3 linked regions of the Mus musculus genome follow. The protein of the gene in region 3 interacts with the protein of the main gene of each other region in a pairwise test. Links are inferred from orthologs where the notes say so. Each region holds a gene or a part of one and is shown on either strand. Other genes may lie near its edges.

Region 1 (4,171 bases), on a different chromosome or scaffold from region 3:
GTTCCCAGATACATTTCTCTAGTTAGAGTGATCCCCTTCCACTGCACTTCATGACTTATTGCTTACTCTGTCCTGTATGTCTTGTCCCACAGACGTGGGTCGCCCAGGATCCCCCTAGCACAAAGGACATGGAGAGGAGGTGCTAGGCTCTCACCTGAGGGGTGGGCCAGAGTGCCCAAGACTTGGGGCGCAGCACTAGGCCCCTCCACCGCGGCGGTCGCTCTCTCAGGTGAGGGCTTTTTTTTTTAATTATTATTTTTACCACCGCGATGGGGTTGCAGGCCTGGCGCCATGGCAACGGGGGCGGGGCTCATTTGAATACCCAAATATTCGTGAGCCGCGGGCATCCGGGGCTTCGGTAAGATGAGCCCCGCCCCCTAGCAACGGTTGCCGGGACACGCGGCAGATCCGGTGGAAATGCTCCCTAGAGTAAGAGACAAGCCGGACGGCTGAACGCAGTGAAGGCACTCACGGTGGTTCAGAGAGCCGTCCGTGAGAGGCTTCTGGCCAGCTCTCGGTTATCTGCCTGCTAGATGAATAGAACAAGCCGAGCTTGCACCCCGGGCGGCGACCGGGGTGAGCGTGCAACCCCAGGCCTGCACGACCTGAGTAAAAGCCTGAGTTTTTCTGAGGACGTGCTTATTCGTTTCTTTGAAATTTCAAAAAGTGTTGAAAACATGTCATTTGCGTCTGACACAGATGTACCCTACTTGCTTGAGTGGGTGGAACACTTCATTTCGCCCCAATACCAACTTTTCTGACTTTCGGGGTCGTTCTTCAAATGGACGCAGTATGAGCTTCTGCAGTGTTGGGACCTCGAGTTTGAGAGCGGTAGGGGGGTCTTCTCCAAAACACGAAGAGCGCGGTGTGATGGGCCGACGCTGCCCCAGGATGGAGCCTTTGCTCCACCTCGACCTACGAGAACAGGCAGCTAGGGGTTCCGGCGAACTCTGTCTTCCTCTGTTATTCCGCGTCCGCGGTGCTGACTGTCCCCGACACCAATACCCGGTCGGGATGACCTTTCCACTCGTGGGCCTTTGGGCCTTTGGTGAGGCTGCAGGGTGGAGGCTCTGTAGTAGGTCCTCAACGCAACCCGAGCGTGCACCAGTTTCTCTCCGGAGAAATCCCGGGCTCGTAAGCACGGTCTCGGTCTGTCTCTTCTGCACCTAGGCACTAGACATCACTGTTGAGTGCAGGACCCAAGTTCCGGCACTGCCTTCCCCGCGGCTCCAGGAAGCCCCGCCCAGCTTCGGCTTCTGACGGATGGGTTGCTCAGCCAACCACAACAGGTCGCGGTGCGGAGGAGTTCGACCAATCACGGGCCGCCTCGAGTTGACGGACGGGCGTGGGGCGGAGCGGGGCGGGGCGAGCGCGGGCCCGGCCAAGTCCCCGCCGTCCGCTCCCGGCGCCCGCAGCCCGAGCCGCACCCGCCGCGGACGGAGCTCATGCGCGGGCCCAGCCGGCGCCCGTCCGCGCCCCCGCCCTGCCCCGGCCCCGGCCCCGGCCCCGGGGGCAGTCGCGCCAGCAAGCGGTGAGTGCGGGCACGGGGTGGGGCGCGGGGCGCAGGTGATCGGTGCTTCCTTGCTCCTCTCGGCCCGGCAGCGTGCCTAGCGTCCGGCTGCCCGCCTCTGCGGCCGGACTCGCTCTGCCTGTGGCCGTCCTCCCAGCGAGGCGCCGCCCGGGCCTCCGGAGACTCTGCGCCCCGCGGCCATCACGCTCGGGCCTCGGGGCCACAAGGACACCCGCGTTGGGCCCCAACCAGGGCCTTCTGCTCCCAGCCATCCCTCGCGTTCCTGTAGTCACCTGCTTCCCACACCCTCAGCCGTTTTTCCCCCCCTCTGTGAAAGCTCCCTGGCCCCTTGTGGAAGGTTTGTCTTAGTGGAGGGCAGGGTCCTTCTCCAGCCACCCTCCCCCCGCTGCCGGGACCGCGCCTGGCATGCAGTAGGCGCTCAGTAAATAGTTGTAGGTTGCACCCACATGCCGGCGGGCCAGAGCCGGTTGTAGGCTGGCATTGGCCTGCCTGGGCACGCCGAGGCCGCCGTGGCAGGACCTGTTTTTTGGGGGGTGGCCTCAGCCCTCAGGCGCCTCCAGTTGAGGGTTTCTGCCTACCTAGCGACTTCTAATTTGGGTGCGTGGTTGGGAGAAGCTCTCAGCTGTCAGCCCTGCCTTGGGGGCCTCTCCCTGCTTCCTCACACAGCCATTAAGTGCTGTTTGAGGAGGTTGGGGGGTGGGGGTGGGGTCCTCCCTTTTCAAGCTGAAGGTGCCACAGGTGATCAACTGGGCCACTGGCAGGCCTGCCTGCTCAATGCTGGAGAGGGCCCTTGGGTCAGGCATCTATTAGCCGTCTCAAGTGGCAAGGGCCTTGGCTAAGTGTGCTTCTCATTGGCAGGTGGGGCAGGAGCTCCTGGATTGGCAGCCGCTGTAGAAGCTATGACAGAATACAAGCTTGTGGTGGTGGGCGCTGGAGGCGTGGGAAAGAGTGCCCTGACCATCCAGCTGATCCAGAACCACTTTGTGGACGAGTATGATCCCACTATAGAGGTGAGCTCTGCCTACCTGCCAGAGGTGGGCTGTGGCAGTGGTCATGGGTAAATGACCAAACAGCCCAGGTCTTGTAGGTGTTATGGGGTATGATCCATCAGGGTATGAGAGGTGCAAGGGTGTAGGCTGGTTCTGTGGATTCTCTGGTCTGAGGAGAGGTGAGACCCCACCCCCACCCCCCACCCCCACTAAGCCGTGTTGTTTTGCAGGACTCCTACCGGAAACAGGTGGTCATTGATGGGGAGACATGTCTACTGGACATCTTAGACACAGCAGGTCAAGAAGAGTATAGTGCCATGCGGGACCAGTACATGCGCACAGGGGAGGGCTTCCTCTGTGTATTTGCCATCAACAACACCAAGTCCTTCGAGGACATCCATCAGTACAGGTGAGCCACCTATGGCTAGCCCGTGAGCCCGTGGCACACGTGAGGAAGGTTCCGTGTGCACACTGAGGCTTTATGTCTTTTTTTGAATGTCCTGGACACAGTCATGCCTGCAGCCTGCTAGCTGGCTCATATCCACCCCATCCCCCTCCAGGGAGCAGATCAAGCGGGTGAAAGATTCAGATGATGTGCCAATGGTGCTGGTGGGCAACAAGTGTGACCTGGCTGCTCGCACTGTTGAGTCTCGGCAGGCCCAGGACCTTGCTCGCAGCTATGGCATCCCCTACATTGAAACATCAGCCAAGACCCGGCAGGTGAGCCTGTTTCCCTCTCCACAGCTAGTCAAGGATTTACCGCACCCCACCCCAGCCAGGGAGCAGAGCTCATTGCCGCTCTCCCTCAACACAGGGCAGCCGCTCTGGCTCCAGCTCCGGGACCCTCTGGGATCCCCCCTCCCCCGGGACCCATGTGACCCAGCGGCCCTCAAGCTGTAAGTCTCCCAGACCGCAGGGCTGTGAGGGAGGCAAGGGCCAGGGTCTGGGCTTATGCCCTGCAGTTCTGAGTTCACATAGCTCTAGGGCAGGATGGGGTCCCTGGAGAGAGCTGCCCTGAGCCAGGCCGGAGCGGCGACCCAGGGGCCTTAGTTCTTCTTGTCCCCAGTGTCCTGTGGATACTGGCTAGTTTTAAGCCCTTCAGTGTTGTTAGGCTGTTCAACTTGAGACGTACTGGGGGTCTGGGAGAGTCCTGAGTTAAGTGGCTCTGACTTTGAGTGATACTCAGGAGTGAACCCTATTTCAGGAGAGTGGCCTGTGCCTTTTGGATGGCCAGGGCCCAGCTCCCTATTTGTGTTGGTTTTGCAGCTGAGGAAGGGAGCCTCCAGCGTTGGGGTGTGACCTGATCTAGGCAGGGAGTTTCTTACCCAGACAGCACCCCTTTTCTCCCCAGAGTCCTCTCTGATCTAGTCCCTCTGTCCCCAGGGCGTGGAGGATGCCTTCTATACACTAGTCCGTGAGATTCGGCAGCATAAATTGCGGAAACTGAACCCACCCGATGAGAGTGGTCCTGGCTGCATGAGCTGCAAATGTGTGCTGTCCTGACACCAGGTGAGGCAGGGACCAGCGAGACGTCTGGGGCAGTGACCTCAGCTAGCCAGATGAACTTCATATCCACTCTGATGTCCTTGCTCCCCCAATTCTGCCAATCCCCCCCGCCTGCAGTCAGTCATGTCCTTTGTGCCCGTCCCGG
Region 2 (4,294 bases), on a different chromosome or scaffold from region 3:
TGGAAGTAATGGGTGGATGGATGGAGGGGATCCCTGCCCAGCCTGTGAGCCTACAGAGAAGCTGGGAACCATAAGAGTAGACTAGAGGGAGACTGGCTGGACTACATTTCCCAGATAACGTCCATTCTCCGTTATAGTGGGCCTGGCTGTCTTACTAGATCTGTCCATAGGGCCTGTGAAGCCTTTGAAAGGTGCTTATTAATTTCAGGGAAAATGGTCTTGGGTGGGTGGCAATGACTGGCTTATGAGCAAAGCTTGGGGTTGTTCGAGAAGGGACCTCAAGACAACCGTGAGCCAGGGCTGGTGTTCTCTGTCTGAATTTCAGGCCTGAGGCCTGAGGCAAGAAGATGGGCTATATACGGCAAGTTCCAGTGTGATGTTCTCTAAAAAAAATAAAATAAAATAAAATAAAATGAAAGAAAGAAACCAAACCAACAGAACAGGGTAAGGGGAACCCTAGGTTGTTCTCAAGTTTGCCCTAAACTGCCCCTCCCCCAATTCTCTGGAGGCCTCACGGGACTTCCTTGGTGGCCAGTGGCTTATATGAGCTGTGTACTTCCATAGCTCTGTCTAGTAGAGGGGTCTGCAGAAGCCGTGGAGGCTTGCAGGCTAGGGCCAGTCGGCGGCAGTTTGTAGTTTATCTCAGTCTACAATGATTGGTTTTCAATTTCTAATCCCTGAGGCCCAGCCCTGGCATCCAGGCTGGACTCTCACTAGGTGACACTATCAGTGCGTCAGAATCCGTGGCTATCAGCCTGGAACTAGACCTGCCCTGGATTCATCTCGGACACTGAAGCCAGGCCACAGAACAAAACACCTTCACTCTTGCTTGCCAGGCCTGGCATGAGCTGGCTCCTGGCTGGCAGAAAGCAGCTTGTTTGGTCTTTCTCTCTCCTGTTCCTACTTGAAAGACGCCCTCCTTTGTTTTCTTTGCCTATCTCTGGGTCAAGTTATTTTTTGTTTGTCTTGTTTTGTTTTCTTGGTTTGTTTTGGGGAAGGCGATTCCTGAGGAAGGGAGTCGGGCTGTAAAAGAGGGGCAGCAGAGACTTCTATTAGGAGATCCCAGAAGTGGAACCAGTGTGAATAGGAACTATATAAAATTAAGGAGTCACCCTCTCCCCCGAGAGATGCCACCCACCTGTCCATAGTTTAGGCAGGTCCTGCTGTCTTCCTGGGACAGACAGCCTGATTCTATAGCTCTTTGTGGGTCTTGACACTAACTCATAGACACTCAGAGATCACTAAGTTTTACTTCCAGTCCCCTCCTGACCTCCTAACAGCAACACAAAAAGCGTGGGAATCCCCTTCCAAGAGGAAGCCACCGTGCAGCTTTAACAGAAAGGGAAGGGAGGAAGAGGGCGCTGACTCGGAGTCTCCTACTATTGGCTGCAGCAGGGGATCCCACCTTAGGGATTGGCCTGGACAGAGTCCGCCTCCTCTTGTGATTGGATCAGTCTGAGACTTATAGCGGAGCCTTACGAGCCTCCGCCTCAGTCGGAGGCAGGCAGGCAGGGAACCCGCGCTAGTGTGCTAGTGCGGACACTTGAGGCGCGACCTCCTCCTCCCTGAACCCGAGTCCACGTCCCTCCGAGGCTGCAGCCATGAAGGAGAGACGGGCACCGCAGCCAGTGGTGGTCAGGTGTAAGCTCGTCCTGGTGGGAGACGTGCAGTGTGGGAAGACGGCGATGTTACAGGTGCTAGCGAAAGACTGCTATCCCGAGGTGAGCTTCCCTGCCGTCCCGGGGTCGATCCCCCACCTGTCCGGGACAGCGCTCTCCACCACCCGCAGGCCGCCCCACCCTGCCTTGCCTTCTGGCTGGAGGACTGCCCTGTCTTGCTTCCCTAGAGACCTGACCCACTTCTGCCGCCCGGTCGGCTCCTCCTCACCTCTTTACCCATCATATCCCCTCCCACTTGCCTTCATCCCTGAGACCTGGAGGCTCCCGAGAGCTTGGGCTTCATTCTTGACGCAGTACCTGCCTGCCCCTCCTATAAGGCTCTGTGAGGGTGCCCTCCCCAACCCCCCCCCCCCCCCCCGCGCAGGCTTCTGCTGTTTTGCCTGTTCACCTGTGCCAAAGGACTAGAGGGCAGAAGACAGAGGTTAAAACTGGCTTGTGGCTCTGAAAAATGGGACACACATTTAGAGATGTGAGGAAAATGCGAATGTATGTGTCTCAGACTAGCTAGGATGTAGGGGGTTTGTCCCAGGCTGGGGAGCGAAGGCCAATACCTCTACAGTCCCCAATGGCTCCCCCTCCTCTGGCTTCTCGCCATCTGACACTTTGGTGTTTCTCGGCGCATGTGTAGCCAACGCTTGGTGTGGGGTTCTGAGGGCATGCTGCTGCCGGGGTGTGAGTGTTTCCTGTCTCCTCGCAGACCTATGTGCCTACCGTGTTTGAGAATTACACAGCCTGTTTGGAGACAGAGGAACAGAGAGTGGAGCTTAGTCTCTGGGACACCTCAGGTAAGAGTGTACCCCCAAATGCCCCATCCTACCACCATTGGCTAGCCGCAGTTGCTGCTTTTTTAAGGGGGGGGGGGCTGGGAATCCACCTTTGAAGATAGGTGCTTGCCAGGAAAGCGAAGGAAAGAATGTAAAAAATTCTTTGGTTGGGGCTTTGATGATTTTAGAGGATCCTGGAAGGCAGTGAACAAGCCTGGGTGCCACTTGGGTCTCTGGTCTAGTTCACCTCTGGATGGTGAGGTGAAGGGAGCCCTGAGAACTCCCCGGGAGTACCAGACGTCTCCTCTGTCTCTGTCTCTCTCCTCTCCCTTCCTCTCCCTCCTCTCTCCCTCTCTCTCTAGTTCTCCAGAGCAAAGTTAAATGAGGTAGGAGGGTGCTGCTGGAGGCAGCTGTGGCGGGGCAGAGAGCCACCCTCCCGCCCCGCCGGCTTTGGAGGGAATATCACTCTCCTGCATCTCAAGCCGAAGCTGTCTGCTTGCCGCAACTCAGAGGCTGCGGCTTAGAGACGATGATGAAGCGATGCATCATCGATGCTTTTTTTTGGGGGGGGGGCAGTAAATGTAGGGCATGTCCACACTGGGTTAGTGTCCAGTTGAGCACATGGGGGTCTAGTTCTTATCATTTCTCCCTGGGCTGGGGTGAGTTGGAGATGCCCTGTCTATCTTTTGGAAATGTAGAAAGCAATGCTTTCCCTACTCTCCGCTCCCAAGCCCTTTAGAGCTCAGCTTTGCTTCTGAGCCCTTCCCACTTTCTCTACCCCAGCCCCTCTTTTTAACCGTCTGTCTCAGACATCCTTAAAGAGTAAGTGCCAGCCATGTGAGAAAGAAAAGAAAAATCCATGCTTTGCCAAAAAGGATATTTTCTACGTGCTCAGCCCGAGTTTCTGGGGAAGCTGGAGAGCACCAAGGTTCTCCTGCATGTGTGGTAGATGTGCCACCCAGCTTCTGTGAAGGATCCTGTGCTGCTTCTCCAACTGTAAGGTCTGGGAAGACCGGGGATAAGGAATGGGAAAACAGAAAACGATAGATATTTCTTTCGCTCTCCCCACAACCAAAATTCCTCAGGCGGGTCCACGGTCCCCCGTTGCAGTTCCAGGAAAGGGGAGGCAGGGTTTCTGGTTATCCTGGACTGTGCTGTGCTGGCTGGATCGGACCAGAATGCAGCGTGGCTGCGTGATGTATGGGTTTTCTCCTGCTGTATCCTCCCACCTTCCAATCCTCCCTGAACCTTGCTGCGGCTCATCTCTCCTCATTACCACCCTCGATGCCCCCACCCCCACCCCCACAGTCCTTCACTCCCAACCCAGATAAAGGAAAACCAGCCAGGATGGTCTTTTTACCCTAGGTCACACCCCACCCCCTCATTTCAAAAGGCTGGAAGGCAATCAGTTAGCCTTGTTTTAAACTAGGTCCCTGTAAGGACAGAGGAAATGACTGTGTAGGGTGGAGAGCCTCACTACCTTTGGTCTGGGGTTGAACCTGTTTCTGTTATTCACTTGCTGGCCTTAGGGGAGGGGGATTGCTTGGAGCCAAAATGGAGACCCGCTCCTCTCCCCCTCCCCCAGTACCGCAGCACTCCCCTGCCTCAGTGCTGCTGTAGATCAGCCCCCACCTCACCTCAGTAAGAGATGGGGGTGGCTTGCTGAAGGAGCAGGCAGCTATCCAACTCCCCCTTACTTCTTCTTTTTTATGACCGACACCCCCACCTCAGCTTGGATTCCCCCCCAGTTTCCATGGTGATTGCAGTACAGGGAGAGGGGCTGCTTGCTATTCTAAGCACGGATTGTCTGGATTCCAAATCTGCTACTGTTCCTTACCCAGGGTGGAGGGG
Region 3 (4,137 bases):
GGATTTTTGACCCACAGTTTGAGAACCACTGCTTTAAGTTCAAATGTCATTTCCACCATGAAGTTTTGCCAGCTGTTAAAGGCACGTCACCAGAACCTCTAAGGCATTCTCCACTTGATCTTGACTAAAAGGCCAACAAGTAATCCTCTGTGGCATTCTGATATCTTTTCTTTTATGCCACTTGTCAACTCCATCTTGAATCTCCTTATCTCCCTAATCAGTTATGTATCTTCTGAATAACAGTGGCCTATCTTTTACTTAATTCAGTACCCAACCAAAACCAAAAACCAAAACAAGGTTTGTTGAGTTACTTGGAAGAAAAACAAACAAAATGGGTGGGTGATCAAATGGGTGGAGTGGGAACAAGAACAGGAAAGAAGGCCAGAGGAAGGACACAGGCGTCTCCAAGGAAACAGAGGGTTAAACCAACTTTATCTACTTTCTGGGGGAAAAACAATCATTAAATGTCAACTTGAATGTCAAAAAAGCAAATAAAAATAGCAAGACCTATCTAGTCTGAGGATAAAGGACTGTCACACCAGCTCCTTTCAGGAAATCCATGAAATAAATGCTTTCCTATTTTCTGGGTGTTTCAACACTAGTTCAGAAACTGTTCATTAAGGAGAAAAACAATCACATTGCCATGCTTCTAAAAATATTACCTCCCTAGTGTAGTGTAGATACTAGATGACAGGTCAGTAGATGTAAAGCCAGATTTTAACTGTGTCAATTTGCTGTGCTCTCTGGCCAGTCTCTGCCTCACCGGGTCTCTATTTCCTCATATTTAAAAACAAAAGATAAAGAGATTGGATTGGCAAAATCTTTTAAGTCTTCCTGTACTAACATTGAGTATAAACAATCTTTAGCTCACCCAGTCCAAAGCAGAAATATAACATAAACCCTGCAAAACAAGTAAAAATGAACTCCAGACTAATAAACTAACACTATTTGAGGAGGTCATTTTGTTCTGTTATCTCTCGTGGCTTAATATGTGGTTTTGTTGGTGGTTTGCAGTCTTACCATGGTTTGCAGACTCCTGAGTTCCATGTAAACAGAAGTTAACTGTCGGTGGGTTGTCACGTCTCCGGGGTAAAAGAAGACCTTCCTGCTGGGTTTCAAGTAACAGGATTCAGAAACCAACCCCATAGGAGGATTTCAAATATGTGCACACTGCTCGGCACACTGGAACCCAAGTTAAAAAGATGGAGCGCATAGTATGCTGGGACTTGTAGTCCCTGGCCTCTAATGGTGCGCTGGGATCGCCTGTGCTCTCTGGGATGCTGGGAAATGTAGTTTCTGCCACCTTGTACAGTGCAGCCTGCCATAGTCTCAGACCACTAGTGTGCCCGGCAACAAGAGCAGGCATCTCAAACGCCTCTGAAGATTTCAAGCCATCGCTCCTCTGGGACAAACTCTAGGCAACAACACGAAAGAAAATTCTGTCCTCCGGGACTCTCCAAGAGGGCCTTTCCCACTGACGCTCTCCGTCCCCGAGCGAAGCCGCTGAGCGTTGCTATTGGCTACTCAAGATGCCAATCGCCAAGGCTGGCTTGTCATTGGTTTCAAGGCGGGAGCTCCACGACTAGAGGGAAGGAGAAGGGATCAGGAGCGGGAGCTGAGGGGAGGGAGAGGCCGGTTCGGGTCTGGCCGCCACCGCTGTTCACCTGAGGTGTCCGGCCGGGCTGCGGCTGTCCTCGGTTCCTGGGTACCGTCTGCGAGGCCCCGCGGAGCCAGCGTGGGAGGGCCGCGGGCGGCAGGCGCCGCATCATGTCAGCCAAGGACGAGCGGGCCAGGGATATCCTGAGAGGCTTCAAACTGTATCCGCCCGGGAGCAGGGGCGGGGCTGGGAGGAGGCCGTGGCTCTAAGGAGCCAGGCTTTGGCAGGGGCGTCAGGTGGGCACCGGGGAAGAAGGGCTACGAGAAGGGGCAGGAAAGGAACTGTGTGCCGGGCCCCCGGGAGGGACCGCGAACGGGAGGCAGGCACAGGGGCACCCTGAGGGAGAAAGGGGACGTTGATGGAGCCTGGGGGGGGGGGGGGGCGGGGGGGAGGATGGAGGTGGAGGAGCCCCGGGACCTGGCTACTGCGAGAAGAGTTCCCATTTGAAATTAGGGTCCTGAAGGCCGGGAGGCCAGAAGGGGGCTGCAGTCCCCACGCAGAGGCTGAGGGAGTGCAGCAAGCTGGCCTCCTAGCCTGCCTAGGAGCGACTTTGGCGGGAAGCCCAGGGTGGGAGCAGGAGAAAGTGACTCCAAGCAAGTGACCTTGTATGTGGGGGATAATGTACCCCATCCCACCCCACCACACACACATCCGTCTTGTTTTCACAACTTTTCTTCCTCACTTGTGGCTTCTTATAGGGCTGGAGTAGTGGAGAGGTGGGGAAAGAGAAATTAAAGACGGACCCCATCTTAACACTTTGTTGGCCTTTGGAGCATTAACATCTCAAGTTCTCTTTCCAGCGAGATGAGAAATAGGAGGTGTGTGAGATGCATGAGGTACTTTGGTTTTGAACCGACTCCCGGCAAAATTATCTTTGGCATTGCTGAGGTTAACGCTTTATTATGGTGAAGCTGTTCACAATTACTTGATTGTGTTGAGGACACCATATGATATCAGAATTCGTTGTTTCGGTGGACTTGGTGTTGAATGCCTGTGATCCCAGTACTTGGGAGATGGAAGCAGGGGGATCCAGAATTCAGGTCATCCTCAGAGTTTCATAGAGTTCAAGACCAGCCTTAGTTATAGGAGACCCTGCTTCAAAAAGGAAGAAAGTGAGAAGCCAGAGGAGGAAAAGAAACCATTGCTTCAGGCCTGTTGTAGCTACACTGTGACTTTTGCAACCTCTTTATATAGAGAGAGAAAACTTCGAAGCGTTTGTTTTATTTTGGAGACAGGGTCATACAGTGTAGCTCTGGCTGACCCAGAACTTGATGTGTAGACCAGGCTGTCTACCTGTCTCTGCCTCCTGAGTGCTGGAACTGTTAGAACTCAGGGTGTGGCCAGCACCTTCAGCTAGAAGCTGTGTGTTTTGATGGACTATTTGTCACCATAAAATGCAGATGAAATATATTCCAGTTTTACATTCTGTTGACCTTAATCTCTGCTGTACAATATGGAATATTCCTAAGTGCCTCCCTTTGTGGGATGTAACCATCATTTACCCAGCTCCTGCCTCTGGAGGTTTAGGCTTCCCTAAACTGGTTCTCTGAACAACCTGTTGCATTGTCTCAAGACCTGTTTCACATCTTCCAATATCTAATTGCTTGGCTATGGTTAGAAACTAAGGTGAACGTAAATTCTAGAATTCATACAAGGCATGATTAAATCATGGTTATAACCCCAGCACTTGGTGACTGAAGCAAGAGATTGTCATGTGTTCAAGACCAATCTAGGCTGACTCCAAAAAAAGAATGAATCAAAAACAACACCACAAGAACCACGTACCACTGTGTGAACAGTGGTGAACGGATAGACTGGAAGCATAAACGGGGTCATGGGTTTCTGTGGCCCCAAGGGGAAAAACCAACCCAGGAAGTTTTGGGTGCAAAAGGAAAACCCTTCAAGTAAAAACTATACCGAGGTTTTGTGGGGTTTGTTTTTGAGTGTGAGCAAGTAGGGTGCGTTGAGAAGTGAAGAAACAGCTCTCTGCAACTGGCAGGGATTGGAAAGTGAGTCGCCCTGCTGTGCTTTGTAAACACAGAAGGCTGTATCTCCTTACACACTGACATTCAGGATAAACCCTCAGTGGCTTTCCATAGTGAAGTTTAGTAACAGACTCTTCTGTAGTTCCCTGTCTGCTTGGGATAAACGAATATAGCAGGAAACTGTGGATTTTGTCACTTTTACTCTTGACATGAACCTGTTGAGATAAAGGCTAATGGACAAATATAGAAAACACTATAAAGCTAGATGTGGTGGCACACACCTTTAGTCCCAGCACTCAGGAAGCAGAGGCAGATGGATCTCTGTGAGTCTGAGGCCAGCCTGGTCTGCAAATCGAGTTCCAGGACAACCAGGGCACACAGAAAAACCCTGTCTCAAAAACCAAAAAGAAAGAGAGAGTGTGTGTGAATCAGCCACTTAAGTAATGATGTGAGTGCTTCAGGAAACAGGCTTTCAGGGAAAGCTTGACCGGAGCT

The links.
Region 1: the proteins of Pde6d (region 3) and Hras interact in a two-hybrid assay, tested with the Homo sapiens proteins (2 studies listed by BioGRID). The link is inferred for Mus musculus from reciprocal best matches to the Homo sapiens genes PDE6D and HRAS.
Region 2: the proteins of Pde6d (region 3) and Rnd1 interact in a two-hybrid assay, tested with the Homo sapiens proteins (2 studies listed by BioGRID). The link is inferred for Mus musculus from reciprocal best matches to the Homo sapiens genes PDE6D and RND1.

Annotation. Positions count from the first base shown.
Region 1 is NC_000073.6:141,191,200-141,195,370, reverse strand, and holds the start of Hras (GTPase HRas), read left to right. Parts: upstream 1-1,366; 5' UTR 1,367-1,531; intron 1,532-1,562; exon of another isoform or gene 1,563-1,868; intron 1,869-2,389; 5' UTR 2,390-2,430; coding exon 2,431-2,541; intron 2,542-2,750; coding exon 2,751-2,929; intron 2,930-3,030; exon of another isoform or gene 3,031-3,080; coding exon 3,081-3,240; intron 3,241-3,334; coding exon of another isoform or gene 3,335-3,416; intron 3,417-3,903; coding exon 3,904-4,023; 3' UTR 4,024-4,171. UniProt on the Homo sapiens protein: Involved in the activation of Ras protein signal transduction. Ras proteins bind GDP/GTP and possess intrinsic GTPase activity.
Region 2 is NC_000081.6:98,674,657-98,678,950, reverse strand, and holds the start of Rnd1 (rho-related GTP-binding protein Rho6), read left to right. Parts: upstream 1-1,489; 5' UTR 1,490-1,601; coding exon 1,602-1,721; intron 1,722-2,376; coding exon 2,377-2,464; intron 2,465-4,294. UniProt on the Homo sapiens protein: Lacks intrinsic GTPase activity. Has a low affinity for GDP, and constitutively binds GTP. Controls rearrangements of the actin cytoskeleton. Induces the Rac-dependent neuritic process formation in part by disruption of the cortical actin filaments.
Region 3 is NC_000067.6:86,579,980-86,584,116, reverse strand, and holds the start of Pde6d (retinal rod rhodopsin-sensitive cGMP 3',5'-cyclic phosphodiesterase subunit delta), read left to right. Parts: upstream 1-1,331; 5' UTR 1,332-1,767; coding exon 1,768-1,817; intron 1,818-4,137. UniProt on the Homo sapiens protein: Promotes the release of prenylated target proteins from cellular membranes. Modulates the activity of prenylated or palmitoylated Ras family members by regulating their subcellular location.